Linked DNA regions of Drosophila melanogaster. The protein of the gene in region 1 interacts with the protein of each later gene in a pairwise test. Each region holds a gene or a part of one and is shown on either strand. Other genes may lie near its edges.

Region 1 (5,958 bases):
CAATATTATCATATATCATAGCGAAAGCGGCAAATAGAAGAAGAAGGGAATCGGGAAATCAGTAAAGCGTATTAAAAAGCAATTTATTATAAATGAACTGTAAGCCGTGGTCATGATACAAGTCGATGGGAGTTCATAGCAAACCCTTTGATGGCCCTTGATGGATGGTCTGGTTGATCGGATGGTCTGGATGGATGGATGCAACACCACAGAAAAGCAACAGCATGTTGTTTACAGATTTTATTTCACACACAAAACACATACATATATTTATATACAGATGTATATACTGGCTACTCAATAATTTGCTTTCTAATTTCAATATTTTAACTAAAAACTACACACAAAATCCTGTTCACTAAATTTAAGTTGTCTTTTGCCTAGAGAGAACAACAAATATATATATAAATATATATCGAGAGAGTGCGCATAAAATATCAAGAAAATTTATATATATACTACATATGTATATCGCTCGGATACATATGTGTATTTATCTTGACGACACACATTTATGTATATTCTGAAACATTTATGAAAGAGAGAGAAAAAGAAAAAAACAATTGGTTAGTCCAAAAAAAAGCGAAAAGAAAACTAAATAATTTAGGCAAACGGGGTACCAGGTTGAAGGTGAAATGGGCGGACTTCAGGGGGCTGGGTGTTCGGATTTGGGTGCTTGGGGCTTTTGCCAGTGTGTGAGTGTGTGGAAATTCGGAAAATCGGAAAAGAGAACTTCGGTTTCCGCGCACCGAGGGCCGCCACAGTCATTTGATCCCAGAGCACGCACCGAAAAAAAAAATTGAGTCAAAAATTCCGCTTATATACCTGACTTGATATATAGCGCCTGTGTGTGTTGCCTATATTATTGTCTTCATTTTTTTTATTTTTTTTGTTCATTTTTGAGGCCTTTTGCCAAAATCAACACGACCGAGGCGAAACGAAACGATACGAAACGAAAATTTTCATTGACGTAATTGTATTTGGCCGTTTGGCGCTGTCCATTTTTATTTTTAAATTTATGAAATCATAGCGCTCGCACCAGTTTTCATCTCAAATGAAACGCATAAAAATATGGCGGTTTTGAGATATTCAAGGTGTTGTCAAAAGCTTCAATAGCAGGCAGTGGCGAGATTGCAGTTGTAAGATGATTGTAATGACTCGACTGATTGACTGACTGATTGACTGACTGACTGACTGATTGATGGATGGCGCATCGAAGCGAAGCAGAAAGGCTGAAAGAACTTGTGGCGTTCGGATGGACCGAAGCTTATGTAACCTTGCAAATAACAATCAGGTGATTGCCTTTTTTAATTTTAAATTTTAATTAAAATTTTAAACGTTTTTTTCTAAAAAACTAGATTGAAAGCATTGACATAAACTTTTGAACCTGAATTTCATCTATGTTACTATTCCAGTTTCAAGAATGTTAAAAATATCTTTTAGTTTCATGGCGGATAATTTGTTATGTAAACAATCATAATCATTTATCTATATTATTTGAAATATACTTTAAATGGTAATAACAGGATATCTTAGTTCAATATCCACATTTGCAAGGCCACCGATTTCGGAAGCATTAAGATACAGATACTCGGCTGTGTGAAGCAGTTAGGCGGGAATCGGCTGTAGATAGTACAGTATGTGGTCCGTATATGGTACCAACTTACTTGTTCGGCTGTAGTGATGATCGTAGATGGCACGGGGCGAGTAGCCGTAGGTGTCGCGGCTCACTGGCAGATATCTGTAGCCAGAGGACTGGACGCGCTCATTGGCGGTGGCGGGCTCGTCATAGATGCTCCTGTAGGAGGGCGAGTCCAGGTAGGAGCTGTAGGGACGAGAGGCACGGGGCGCCTCGTGGGCACGGATATCCTCGGAGCCTATAAATAGTTGTTTGGATAACGACGCGTTAGTTCATTGCTTTTCAAATATTTCGGCTATTCTATTCTCACTATTTGGCTCAATGCCAGCGCTGCAGAAATGTATGATTTCTATTCGGTTTCTATCATAGATGCGCCCCCTGTATGTGTATCCTATATTTTAGCCTATTCTTTGTTTAAGGCCTGAGCATATATATTTTACAAATTTCTCTCTATATATTCGAATATACTATGGCGAAAAGCTTTCCCAGCAGAGCGTGTCTAAGTATATAGCTTGGCTGATATGACACCTGCCAAAATAAATAGACTATACACATATAGGCTAAGCTATTTGTGTTGCTCACTGGCGACCAGAGTTTAATAATATCACTTTTGAGTGTCCCTTAATCATATCGAAATGGGAACACTTCGAGTTAATCTTCAATTGTTTTTTGAATTATTTTGGAACTATGCAAACTCCCTACTATTGTGACTAAGCAATCAATAGTAGTTTTGAATAACTATCCTATCTTTTAATGTAATTTTTGAGCTTATTTAGTGAATGCTTACCCTTCAGGGACCTGATGTAGGACTGCCAGAATTTCGCCTTCTTGCTGGGGCTCTCATTGCGCCCAATCATTTCCAAGTGGTTTTTGAACATTTTGATCGATTTGTTTTGTTCTGTTCACGAAAAAATCGTTGAACTCGTTCGCTGTAATAAAGTTGGGAAGAGAGATGGCTTAGCAATTTTCCAATGTGTTTCAAATTTCCTTTCCGCCTATTTTATTTTATTTTTTTTTTTTGTCCGTTTTCAATTTAATCTATTTCCCGGGAAATGCCAGGCAGCACGCACGAATTCGAATCGCTTGTCTCTCGATTGATGGGATGTTTTCTCAGTTGAATTTTTTGCTTTCGCGTTGAAAGTCTCTCGGTTCGAAAATAAACAGACTGTGTGCCACTTTAGAGCAGTGCAAAGTTTATAAAACATATACATAAAATCTAATATAATACCGCGATCGGGCAACAGCAGCTAACGCAAGATCAATCTCACTAAAAATAAATATATTTCGGTTCGGTTTTTGTGATTTTTCATGTATCGTGGTATTCTCCTGGTTGCTCGAATATAAAAATATTTTTTTGTTGCATAGCAAATTTCACACTTCTGAGTATGAGAACAAATATTCTAGGTGTCGTCAGTGTGTGCGTGTAAATGGGTGAGTGGATGTAAGTGTATCTGTGTGTAAGCTGCAGCTAAATTGGGTTTTATTTTTAAATGTCCTTGAGTTGAAATCGTTCTGTTATTCTGGCTTTTAGCGGAATTTACTTAAGTATCGAAGAAGTGTGCAAAGTCTAAGAACAATTTAGTTGAAGTATGTTTAAAATAGGCCTTTATTATCCATTAAACTAAATTAATTTTGAATTTAATTCAATGTGGGATTTTTGTTTTTTATATTTCACTGCACAAACTCTTGATGAGCTCCAACACTTCGGTATCAAATGTCATTGAGTACGATCTCTCTTATATAATTATAGTCAATGTCTTTTCGCTATGGAACATATCGGATCATTCATAATGCGATCATAATTCCATAATTATTTCACCAGTTAATTGTTCGTCTCCACATTCAGATGTGATGGTGCACTTTATTTAATTTGATTTTATTGTTTTTCATTTCGTTTATAATTATTTAATTTACTATTCAGTTGTATGTTGTTTAATATGTTTCGGGTTCGCTTACAATTTAAATTTACTCCTAAAAAATAGCGATCTATCCTCAACGAAGAATTTTTTCAAACTGCAAACCCCAAGAAAATTCGCCTCACCAATTTTCCTCGTTTCAGAATTTTGCCATTCCGTTTCGGCACCAAAAGCACGGCGCATTCCTTTACGGCGTAGGTTGCTCTATCCGTGAGCGATTTTCATCGCATCTGTGTGGCAAAGCTCCGGAGATTGGTTATGGGAAAGCTTTCCCACCACATTCTGATAGATCGTGTGGTGGCACCCACTCATTGTTTGCAACGATTCAATACCGAAATCGCGATGACGCTGGCGATGATCATAAAAAGAAAGCCAGCCAAGTCATACCACACATACACAATACATATGAGCCCATATTTCTTTCAGAAAATCCCACACCCTATTTTCTGTTTTTGTTTTTCCTATGGTTTTTCATAATTTTAACATATTCTTTGAATGTTTCAAGGGAAAGGCGTCACTTGTGGTATTGAATTGATCAGTGAACTATAAGCTCTAACTAATACATTACAATATTTGGTTTTTTGTAACTAACTAATTCAAAATGTGGTTAGAGGCCGATGGAATTTTTGCCATAAAAGCATTTAAATTCCGTTTATTTGTTTATGTTTTCTTTTGGCTTTGGCATTAGCTATAATTTAGTTTCCTGATAATGGAAAAATCATTTCCAGCAACATGCCCACACAGGTAAATAAACAAAACTGGTCCAGATACATTTAACCAAATAATAGATACTTTAAGCACACAATATATTATTTATAATGAAATCTGTATGAATAGTTTGATATTTTCTAGCTTGTTATGTAAAATTTGCCGTTAATTGATTATTTAAAACATTAGTAACTCATTTTTTTCGATTATACCCTCCTGTAGGGTATATCTTTTTTGCTCACGTGCGACCCAATGATTGATAATCTAAACACAAATTTTCCAGGGAAATTCCTACGAAAACGAATAAACAAAGATGGGTAAAGCTTCCCCCATCATATACAATTACATCGAAACGAGTTGAAGGGCAGATCTGGGAGTACATATGTTTCTAATAATAGTAAATACATTCATGGAGATCATGTTGACCTTTTCAATCGTGCAGATCGCTTACAGAATTTCCTGCATGTGTTTTCTTTTTCCGCCGATAAACTCAAGGCCAAATGCACTTGCATCCAAATGTTCTTTTGACTTTGTTTGTTTAGCTTATATAAATCTTGTTTGTGAATTTTACCCTTAAACAGGCGGGCGGCGTCATTTAAACTTGAACTTGACTTTGAATGAACCGAATGCGGTTTGATGAACCAAATCGAAAATCAAATGAAAATGCACAAAAACTCACGGGAAATTGGGAAATACCTGGCAAAGGTTTTTCTTTCGGCCAATCAGTGATTTCGGTGATGTGATTCAACTTTTACTTTCTGGCACACTTTTTTGGCTTCACAGAACAATGAATTGAGCAACTTTTTATTTTACTTTCGTTTTTTTTTCAGGTTTTTCATTTTAATTTATTTTAGTTTATTGGCGCTTGATTGTGTTTGTTCCAACATCTTTGATGTTTTGCTCAAGGAGACACAAAAATTGGCTAGGAATTGCATACCCTTAAAAGGAATCTCAAATAAAATTTAGTTATTTTAAAAATATTTTAATTGGCCTAGCGGCTTACAAAATAATTATCTTAGAGAAATTTATGTCCCTTGGGAAATGGGGTCAAAATGTAAGCTCATTATTTAGAGGGCACATATGCAAGCAACGTCAAACAATTTGCTTTCGCAAATTCGCCATATTTTATATCGCAGTTTATACCCAAATTAATTGCAAACTGCATTTAATTTCAGATGAGGAGAGCAGACATTTAGCTGTCAGAAAGTCAAATGCACTGTGAATGCATATAAATTATATACATATTATTACTTTCGCACTTGGTGTGTAATAAATTGCTTTCTCAATGTGAAGGACGATTATAGTTTTCGCAAGTGAAATGAAATGAAACGAAAAACAAATTATAGCGATACTACAATGTCAACGATGCGTATGCGCAATTTGCTGTGGCTCAGCAGCTCAGAAAAGCTACAAAATATAATTAATATAAATACCACTTTGAGTCATAGCAAATAAGCGAAAATAAATACATTTGAGCAATTTCTTTCCTTATACCGAATGCATAGTATTTTGTATGCTCTATTTTTTAAATAAGATTTCCCGTATAAAAAAAATGAAATCCTTTTCTCGTCCATTTTAGAGTTCATTTTTTCAACTTGCATCACCTGGGGACTCATAAATAGAGCTTAATGGCTTCTAATGCCTCAGTTGAAAAGCTTTTTCCCACTCTTCGCCTGTCTATCATACAATTTGAAT
Region 2 (5,162 bases), on another chromosome or scaffold:
GCAGGCCTCATCCAGGGCTATGAATTATCCCCTCTTGTTTACATTGAACTATTTTTGGGGGCTCTTTCCAAAAGTCAACGAGATGAGTCCAAGGTCTATGATTGTCTTGTACGAAGTGTTTATATGAATTTAGCTAGAGCTACTTCTAGAGATAGCCAGCTATCCTTATCCTTGTGGGTTTGTCATCAGGCATATCCCGATAGATTAAACCCCAAGGAGTGGGAGCTGTTTGTGAACAATTTCATGGGTAGTTCTGATGGCAGTATGGTGCTAAGTCAGCTTGGAAAACTGCCCGACTGCATGCCCAAGGAAGCGCAATTAAAGCTGGCTATGTTACTCCAATTGTTCCCAGATTTGCGAAGCAAGCTCCAGTTGGAGAAGGACTATATCTGGCGCGGATTCATTGAGGCTCAAGCGGATGATGTGCTACGTAAGTTGTAGAAATAATTTAGTTAATTTCATCTTATTCAGATTTATTTTCGAACTTACAGCTGCGTTGGGGTCCAGCTTCCAGCGTGTGCTTATTGCTCAGATTTTCCGACCCGACTTGATGCTTCACCAACTGCGAAAAGTGAGTAGCGATCTGCTGGGAATTTCCCCAGATGCCTCCACCCAACCTTCTGTGGAGCAGTTGCTGCAGCAGAGCAGCTGTGATCGCCCGATTTTGATGGTTAGTCATGCGGAAAATGATCCAACAACTGAATTGAGAAAGTGGGCCAATCAAAAGTATAGAGAAATGGCTATTGGAAAAGGTGTTGAGAAAAGAGTTCTCTCCGAAATGCGTCAGGCTGCCATAGATGGCCACTGGTTATGCGTTAAGAATGTCCATTTGGTGCCGGAATTTCTAACTCAAATGGAAAGGGAATTAAGTGAAATTCAAAAATCGAAAGACTTTCGATTGTGGCTATTGTGCGAATCAACCGAGGGATTTTCCGAAGCTGCCATTTATAAATGCCTTAAAGTACGTTATGAGCAGCCTAAGGGACTAAAGCAGATTGTGATGCGTTTGCTCCAGAACTTCGCTGCTGAACAGGATCAAAAGCTTAAAAACCAACCAAAGAGCCTCAAGATGAGACTGGTTTATTTTGTCCTAACAGCTGTGCTTCAACAAAGGCGACAGTTTATACCACAAGGTTGGTCAAAATACTATGAATTCGGTGAGGCAGATCTAAAAGCGGCTCTGGGTATCCTAAGAATGATGGATCAGCAACTTAATTCAGGAAAATGCGATTGGTTGCTGATGCAACGTCTCAGTGAAGCCCTCGCTTATGGCGGAAGAGTAAATAATCAGAGGGATCTGGAGATACTCACAACCTATCTGAACCAGTTTTGTTCAGCGGACGTCTTAAGCAATCGTTGGTCACCTCTTGGATTATCTCTATCCATACCAACTAGCGGTCAACTGCAGGACTACTACGCTGCATTGGAGAAACTTCCTGACACAGATGAGCCCAGTATGTATGGTTTGGCCAATCAGGCACAACAGCAACGCGAAATTGAACAGGCCAAAAGAGTGATAAAGGAACTCAGGGGATTGCATTACGGAAGAGGCTTGGCTAAGGATTCTGGAGGAGCAGGAGAGTCTAAGGGAAACGATCAGCTCACTGGTCGTCAGAAGCTGGAACAGCAAATTAAACCCCTACTGAATCTATGGAGAAAGTTGGCGGCTTCGTGTACCATAATCCAGACTATGAAGGAGGCAAAAACTGATGTGGGTGAATCTCCCTGGGCACTTTTTGTGCTGGCTGAACTGAAACTAGGGGCGGATCTCTACGGCATAGTTCACCAGACTTTGTCGCAGATGCATGCCTGGCTTAAGGAGTCGCAGGAGGTGGATGGCAGCACTCTGAGAACTCTGGCAGAACAGCAGGTAAGAAACTGGGGTACAGTAACGTAACTTGAAAATGCATAATAAACTGAAATTCATAGATTCCTGCCAGTTGGCTTAAACTATGGCCTGGACCTGGCAGCAACAGTGCCGTGGACTTTTTAAGAGCCCTAATCGTTCGAGCCCAGGCTGCCGAACTTCGATTCCGGGAGCAAATGCATCTGGATTTTGTAGAGGATATCAATTTCGTCCAGGTGTTTAACTGTGAGAACCTGTTGTCCTGTTTAAAGCTGCTGCAGTCTCGAAAACTGGCAGTTTCCACCGAACGCCTGGAGTTGCAAACTTGCGGCTCCTCAAACTTGGAAAGTGATTCTTCGGACATAATACTCAAGCTGGCGCCGCTAAAGGTGAGTAAGAATTAGTATCTTTAACCGATAATGTTTTGACATCAAGTTGTGAAATCAAATTCAGCAAGCCACTTACTCATGATTCAAGGGGTTATGTCTTCTATGTCTTCTTCTTTAGCGACTAAGAATATATTTCGAAGCCATAAAAGGAAATTTAACTAATCGCAGGATAATCAGCCAAGAAATTGCCATAACTATAATATTCGCGGTAGATGGCGCATTGGTTAAGTTGGGGATAACCATTAAATATCATAAGCCCTCGAGAAGCGTTACAGTAAATACAATAAACATTGAGAAATAATTTTGGGATACATTTTGCCAGGTTGCTATATCAGATACAATTGGATGCACACGTAGTAGTAGTAACAGTAACAATACTCTGTTACGGATTACCTGGATAGTAGATATGCATACATCCATAGTCCAAATTGATTCCCCCAATCCAAAATCCCAAAAGATACTTATTTATCTTTTGGGACGAAGACTGATGACATCTTCTCTCCCTCTTGCCCGTTTGCTTCTTGTCTTTGTTCCTCACCTTCCCCATTTTGGCCATAAAATGTGTCTCCATCGCCGTCTCCATTCTGGCCGTTTCCATAGCTTCCGTATCCGTAATCCTGCGCCTCCTGTTTTCGGTGCGCCGCCGCCGTTCAATGCATCGAAATTAAGCTTGAAATGTGCACTGGATGCCCGTTCTTTTCAGTTTTCTCACGCCGCTTTTTTTGTTTTCATTTGATTGACATTCCGGTACAAGAGGGGGAATTAGAGATGGCACCTTGTCCGATGCCTATCGATAAGCAGTTCTGAGCACAAACTTACATTTTACTTTCCCTTCTCGTTTGTATATCTACGTATTCGATGCCAATCGATAATCGGTTTGGAAGCTGACTATGGGGAGTGCATCCGCTATGCCCTGATGGGTGTACCTGCTAGAACTAACACTGTAAAAAAACAAATAACTATTTTTTTGTATATACATTTTAGGACTTGGAGAATAAACTTTGCAAATCATCTACCCGCTTTTCGCCTTTTTTTTTGTTTTTAGCAATTGTGAATATATGTAATGTGGAATATATCTAAGTATTTCATTAGTAACTAAACTTGGCACTATTCATTTTCCATTACAGATTGATGGCGCCCAGAGTGGAATGGGAAAATCGAACCCCTTCTACATCAAGTACAAAATAAAAGACGAAGTACAAAATGTCAGTCATACGACTACTAGTTCCTCAAAATACGGCAAAAATTCGCTATATTCCACGCAAAATGCTGAATCGAAGCCCAAACTCCCATTATATTCTCGGAGCAGTCGCGACAAATTGATTTGCCACCTAAATGTTGATATTGTGACCGGAACTGCGGAACAAATTCTCTTGGCCGGAACAGCGCTAATAGTCGAAGATTATTAAACACCACTCAATATTATTTTATACCAATATATTTCAAATATATATGTAGAGAAGCGAAGAATGTGTTGGACTGACACTTGAATAGCAATTCACCTTCGCAAATATTAAATAAAAACCAAACGAAACTCTTTTAACATTAGTTTCCTACCCTTGACACGCTGTCATTTGGGTCCCAACTAATTCTAAGTAAATATTTAAACAACTAACAATTAGGCAGCCAAAGGCAAACATAAAAATGGGCCATTAAACATTTAAGGCGAGGACTTAGACTCTGAAGAGCTAATTGATTTCCATATGTCTCAGTGTCTGTGTTTATTCGGGGATGCCCCTAAAAATTAATTTGCCACCGCCGAAGGGATTTTATTGCGTCCTGTGTCCCTCATAATCTGCTCATATTAAACTAATTGCCGTAAATTTCAACAACAAACTGCCATAAATGTCGGGCATACTTTTAGTTGCCAAGACATCCCCGACATCCCCCAGGCCCAAAACCATTTTACCGTCAAAAACTTGTCTTAACTTTAATTAAGTGGCATTATGTTCAATTAGGCAAAAGTTTCCAATATGCAAATTAACACAATTTGAGTGTAAAGTGCCTCCCGGTACCGAGAAGGGGGCGTGGCAGCCGGCTTCTGTGGCATATAAATTGCCCTCCGCACAAATCACAGTGCCTCGTATCGGTGGGCGTGGCAGTTTGTTAACACATTTTGCAAATTTAGCTATGCAGACTTCTCAGATTTTGTTGTACGCCTTTCCCAACTTGTTGTGCTGTCGGCTATTGAGAATAAATAATTTATTACGCTTCAAATGGAAATTTAGTTGCGGATTAAGGAATTAGGCAGCGCGATAAGGCTGAAAAGGTAATTGAGTAAGGATATAAAGTGAATGTGTATATCAAAAGATACATAAACTCCGCTCCGAACTTCAAATCCAATTAGCTACAAGGAAGAACAGTTTAAAGACCTCCTTCTTATGCATTTAGGCTACATAAAGATCAATTTCCAAAATATTCCCAAGCCGCAACCACATTAATGAGGCCCTTAAACTATTTCACCCGCCGCAATGCTGGATTACCAACTTAACCAAATAGTTCATCGCATTTAATGTTAAAAGCTTGTGGTTTTGGTTGATTCCAATTCGCATTGAATAATCCCCACAAAGTTGCAGCTTAATTATGTGCCCGCCCCAAAATCCCCAAAAACTTGCATTGCCGATTAAATTTTGAATGTCTAATTTGCAGTTGATGGGCAGGCGAATCCGTACTTTACACTCAAATGCACAAATTGATATCCTCCTTTGGCTTCTTCAGTGTTTAGTGTTTGACAAATGTCGGGGCCAAGCGGCCACATCCTTGTAATCCTTGCCAGCCTACAAGCAACGGCGTCGCCATCTAATTGCAGCCGCCTTCAATGAGCTGGGATTAGAAATTAATTAAAGTATAAGGCTAATGTGACATCTGCATGTGTTTGCCGCCCATTTCCTGGTACATACACACGAATATGTCCCCACATCTGCCAT
Region 3 (3,448 bases), on another chromosome or scaffold:
TGCGACGCAACGAGCGTAATGTGATGAAGGTTCCTCGTACCATCCGTGAAACGGTGGCTGCCAAACAGCTCTTTGAAAAACTCCTGAAGGATGTGCCAGTGAAGCAGTCCGCATTTACTCCGATGCTGGAACTCTTCGTTCTGCTGCACAAATACCAGGTGAAGCTTAGCGAGGAAACATTTGAGCAGGTTATGGGATTGGAAACGGCTTGGCTGCATTACCTTCAGGTGCTGGAGGAAGCGGATGAGATGCTGGACAATGAGGACAGTGAGGCCAAGTTGCTATTGGCCAAGCACGGCGAAAAGTTCAAGTTGATATTAAAGGATTTCCTGGAGGATTTCTATTCCAAATTACCCAAGAAATAGGAGTATCATAACTATTATCATAAGTGATAATCAATTTATTTACATTAAATTTAATTTGCACACCTACTAGCTGAGTAATGGGTATGTGATAGTCGGGGAAATTAACTATAGTGATTTATTGAAAAACATGCAAATACTTCTCACATTCCGAACTTTTATTAAACTCTTTTTTCCCCAATTGAGTCCTGCCCAGGATTACAAGTCATAGCAGAGCGATTTATTGGTACAGGGACAACCATCGATGCCGTAACGCCCAATCGGAATGTCCGTCTGGGTCTCCTTGTGCTGCGGTCCTGGCAACTCGTAGAATTTCTTACCAAAGTATCGATCCGGGAGATAGTACGATGGATACTCCGCCCTCAGCCTCTCGTGATCCTCCCGCAGAAATTTTGCCAGTTCGGGAGTAGCCCGTCGAGCTTCCAGGCGATACTGCTTCGGCTTGGCCATTCGGATTGGAACTTCCAGGTGGAGCTTCGAGTGCGGTATGTAGGACAGCAGCTCCTGGTCGAGTTTCACTGCCTGCTCTGCACGAATTTGTGCGCAAGTGGCACACTTGCATTTTCCACCATGGTAGCAGTACCGCTTTCGTCCATCCTCGTCCACCATCAGCAGTGGGGTGCAGATGGGCGACGGAACCGGTTGTGCCTCCGTCTGCGTGGCAACCGACTCCTGGGCGGGATCGGAAAACATTGTGGAAAGAGTGGGGTTCAAATCGGAAAGGTACGAACGATTTGGATTGCAGAATGAAACTAAATATCGGAGAAAAACAGATGTATTATCAGCAAACTCCTTGGCAACTAGATATCAAAAATTACAAATTTTAAATTAAACATTTTATATTGTGCAGCTTGATTAAAGTTTCCAAGTGGCTGGAGACACCTCTGCTGCATCCACAACTAAGTGCAGAGTGAGGATATGCAGCGGAGGAGTTCCACAGCCAGGTGAGATCCCCATGCCGATCACAATCTTTTATCCTCAATCGTTTATCCCCCGTGCAGTAAATGTTTTTGCTGAGATCCTTCTTATCCCGCTTCACAAAACCACAATCCGGACACACATGGGACATCGCTGGATTTCTTTGTGCAGCCTTCATCTGAAGATAGTAATCCTTGAGCTTTCGCTGACGCACTTCCTCGAAGAACTCGCGCATTTGTGGCGAATCCCGAACAGTGGGCTCCTCGATGGGCTTCCTACTCGCTTGCATTGGACAGACGACATCGTCGTGTTGAGCATTCTTCGACATTTTCAACTGATCGTGTCGGCCGCTCGTTATTTTGCCTTTTCGCGAAGAAGAGGACATATATGACATGTTATCCAAATCCGTGATCCTGATCGAAGCACTTGTCCTCTTTGGCACTTTGGATGGCATGCTGATATCTCGACTTTGCTGCGATCCATTCGTGAACTTTCGAACGTAGGTGTTGGCCCTGGTCATTGACCCGGTCGTTTTGAGTAAATACCAGTTGAGGCCCATTGGTAGTTGGTCGATAGTCGAACTGCAACGGTAGGATAGCTTTTTCTAAAACTGGAAATTTTGACTAAAAATATATCGATACCTGTGATTATGGAAAATAGAACTTAATCCAAAGGAATCATTAAACTTTGCACACAATAAACAAAAAAAAAAAACTAATTAAAACTAATAAATAGCGTATCCCCCTATCTTTGCGTCATGATATCTTATCATATCATTTTAACATGCCAAATTGCATCATGCTAATCATTAGGTAGGTACTGCTTCTCTATAAACCATAAAGTGCTTTTAATGATTAGAAAGCTTTTCATTTCCAATTCGCTCTTATCGTGTAATCTCTAACAACGAATGAGCTTTTGGAGAGTAGTACAAAATGAGCTATATGAAATGGTTTATGCTCATTCGCTATCCACAAGCGAAGCGGTTGGGATCGTCAGTACCGACGAAATGGAGAAGATCGAGGCTGAGAGGCAATGGCTGAGATACACGGTTCTTCCGTCAATTCTGAGGAACGGGCGCCTGGTGGACAACTACAGCGAGTCCAAGGTGACCACATTCCATGTGGGGGACATCGACATTGATGTAATTGGCCACTCGGAGGCCTTTATGCTAACTTTTTGCTACCGGACAACCATTAATTTTGAATACGACGGGCAAAAGTTTCAGCGAAAAATGGTGGTTAAGGTAGGTTTATTCCATTCACATAGTATAAATAAATCTTAAACAATCTATCTGGATATCTAAAAACACAACGAAAAGATTTACTATACTCGCGGAATTTAAATTATATTATATAAGTGCCTTAACTGCGTACTACTTACCAGTTTTGTTTTCCAGCAAACTCAGATAGCTTAGTGAGAGTGTGGGTTTTATGGCAAACATTGTGAAATAGAGGGAGGCATCTCAACAAAAGAACAAAGCGAATTGATTTTGAATTCAAAATAAATCACATCTAATGATGAAGTTTACTTTGGCATGCAATGACCCCAGAATACCAATAATTAATTGTTTTTTTTTTTTTTTGTAGAAAACACCTGCTATGCCACCAGAAATGTATGAATCCATACAGTTTGGGCCCCTTTTTACCAACGAGATAAATTTCTATACGGAAATTCTGCCAGAGTTTCAGAAGTTCACCGATGGCAAGTTTGCCGCACCCAAGTACTATTACGGCGAGTTGAACCAGCATTCGGCTGTGGCCATTCTGGAGAATTTCGCGGAGCAGGGATGGCGGGTCACCAAGGATCGTGTGGGTCTGAGTCTGCAGCACGCCATGATTGCCGTGAGTTACCTGGGAAGGTTCCATGGCTTTGCGTACGCCATGAAGCACAAGAACCCGGAAAAGTTTGCCCAGCTGACTGACAATCTGAAGGAATCTCGCTATGCCAACGATAACATTCATCCGGAATGGAAGCTCACCATGAAAACGAGCATCGATCGAGCGGCCAAGGCGGTGGCCACCTATCAGCCACAGATCGACGAGGAGTTTGTTAAGAAGTTCTGTTTCATGATCTCGGACTATTCGCAATACGGTAGGCAACGGGTGGCGCCCAGGGAGCCACTGGCCACCCTGTGCCACGGCGATTATGTGAGGAATAATGTGGCGTAC

The links. The genes of interacting proteins can lie anywhere in the genome.
Region 2: the proteins of Mf (region 1) and CG5674 interact in a two-hybrid assay, tested with the Drosophila melanogaster proteins (one large-scale study listed by BioGRID).
Region 3: the proteins of Mf (region 1) and CG30324 interact in a two-hybrid assay, tested with the Drosophila melanogaster proteins (one large-scale study listed by BioGRID).

Annotation. Positions count from the first base shown.
Region 1 is NT_033777.3:15,176,613-15,182,570, forward strand, and holds the start of Mf (myofilin), read right to left. Parts: upstream 3,659-5,958; 5' UTR 3,596-3,658; intron 2,739-3,595; exon of another isoform or gene 2,710-2,738; intron 2,569-2,709; 5' UTR 2,518-2,568; coding exon 2,427-2,517; intron 1,878-2,426; coding exon 1,668-1,877; coding exon of another isoform or gene 1,609-1,667; exon of another isoform or gene 1-1,608.
Region 2 is NT_033779.5:17,961,217-17,966,378, reverse strand, and holds the start of CG5674 (uncharacterized protein), read right to left. Parts: upstream 3,001-5,162; 5' UTR 2,834-3,000; coding exon 2,774-2,833; intron 2,236-2,773; coding exon of another isoform or gene 1,930-2,235; intron 1,871-1,929; coding exon of another isoform or gene 492-1,870; intron 431-491; coding exon of another isoform or gene 1-430. Other genes in the region: btv (beethoven), read left to right, coding at 1-430, 492-1,870, 1,930-2,235, 3,363-3,644.
Region 3 is NT_033778.4:16,287,086-16,290,533, forward strand, and holds CG30324 (uncharacterized protein), read right to left. Parts: upstream 1,149-3,448; 5' UTR 1,056-1,148; coding exon 561-1,055; 3' UTR 501-560; downstream 1-500. Other genes in the region: CG9068 (uncharacterized protein), read left to right, coding at 1-365; CG30099 (uncharacterized protein), read right to left, coding at 1,186-1,839; JhI-26 (juvenile hormone-inducible protein 26), read left to right, coding at 2,287-2,523, 2,867-3,448.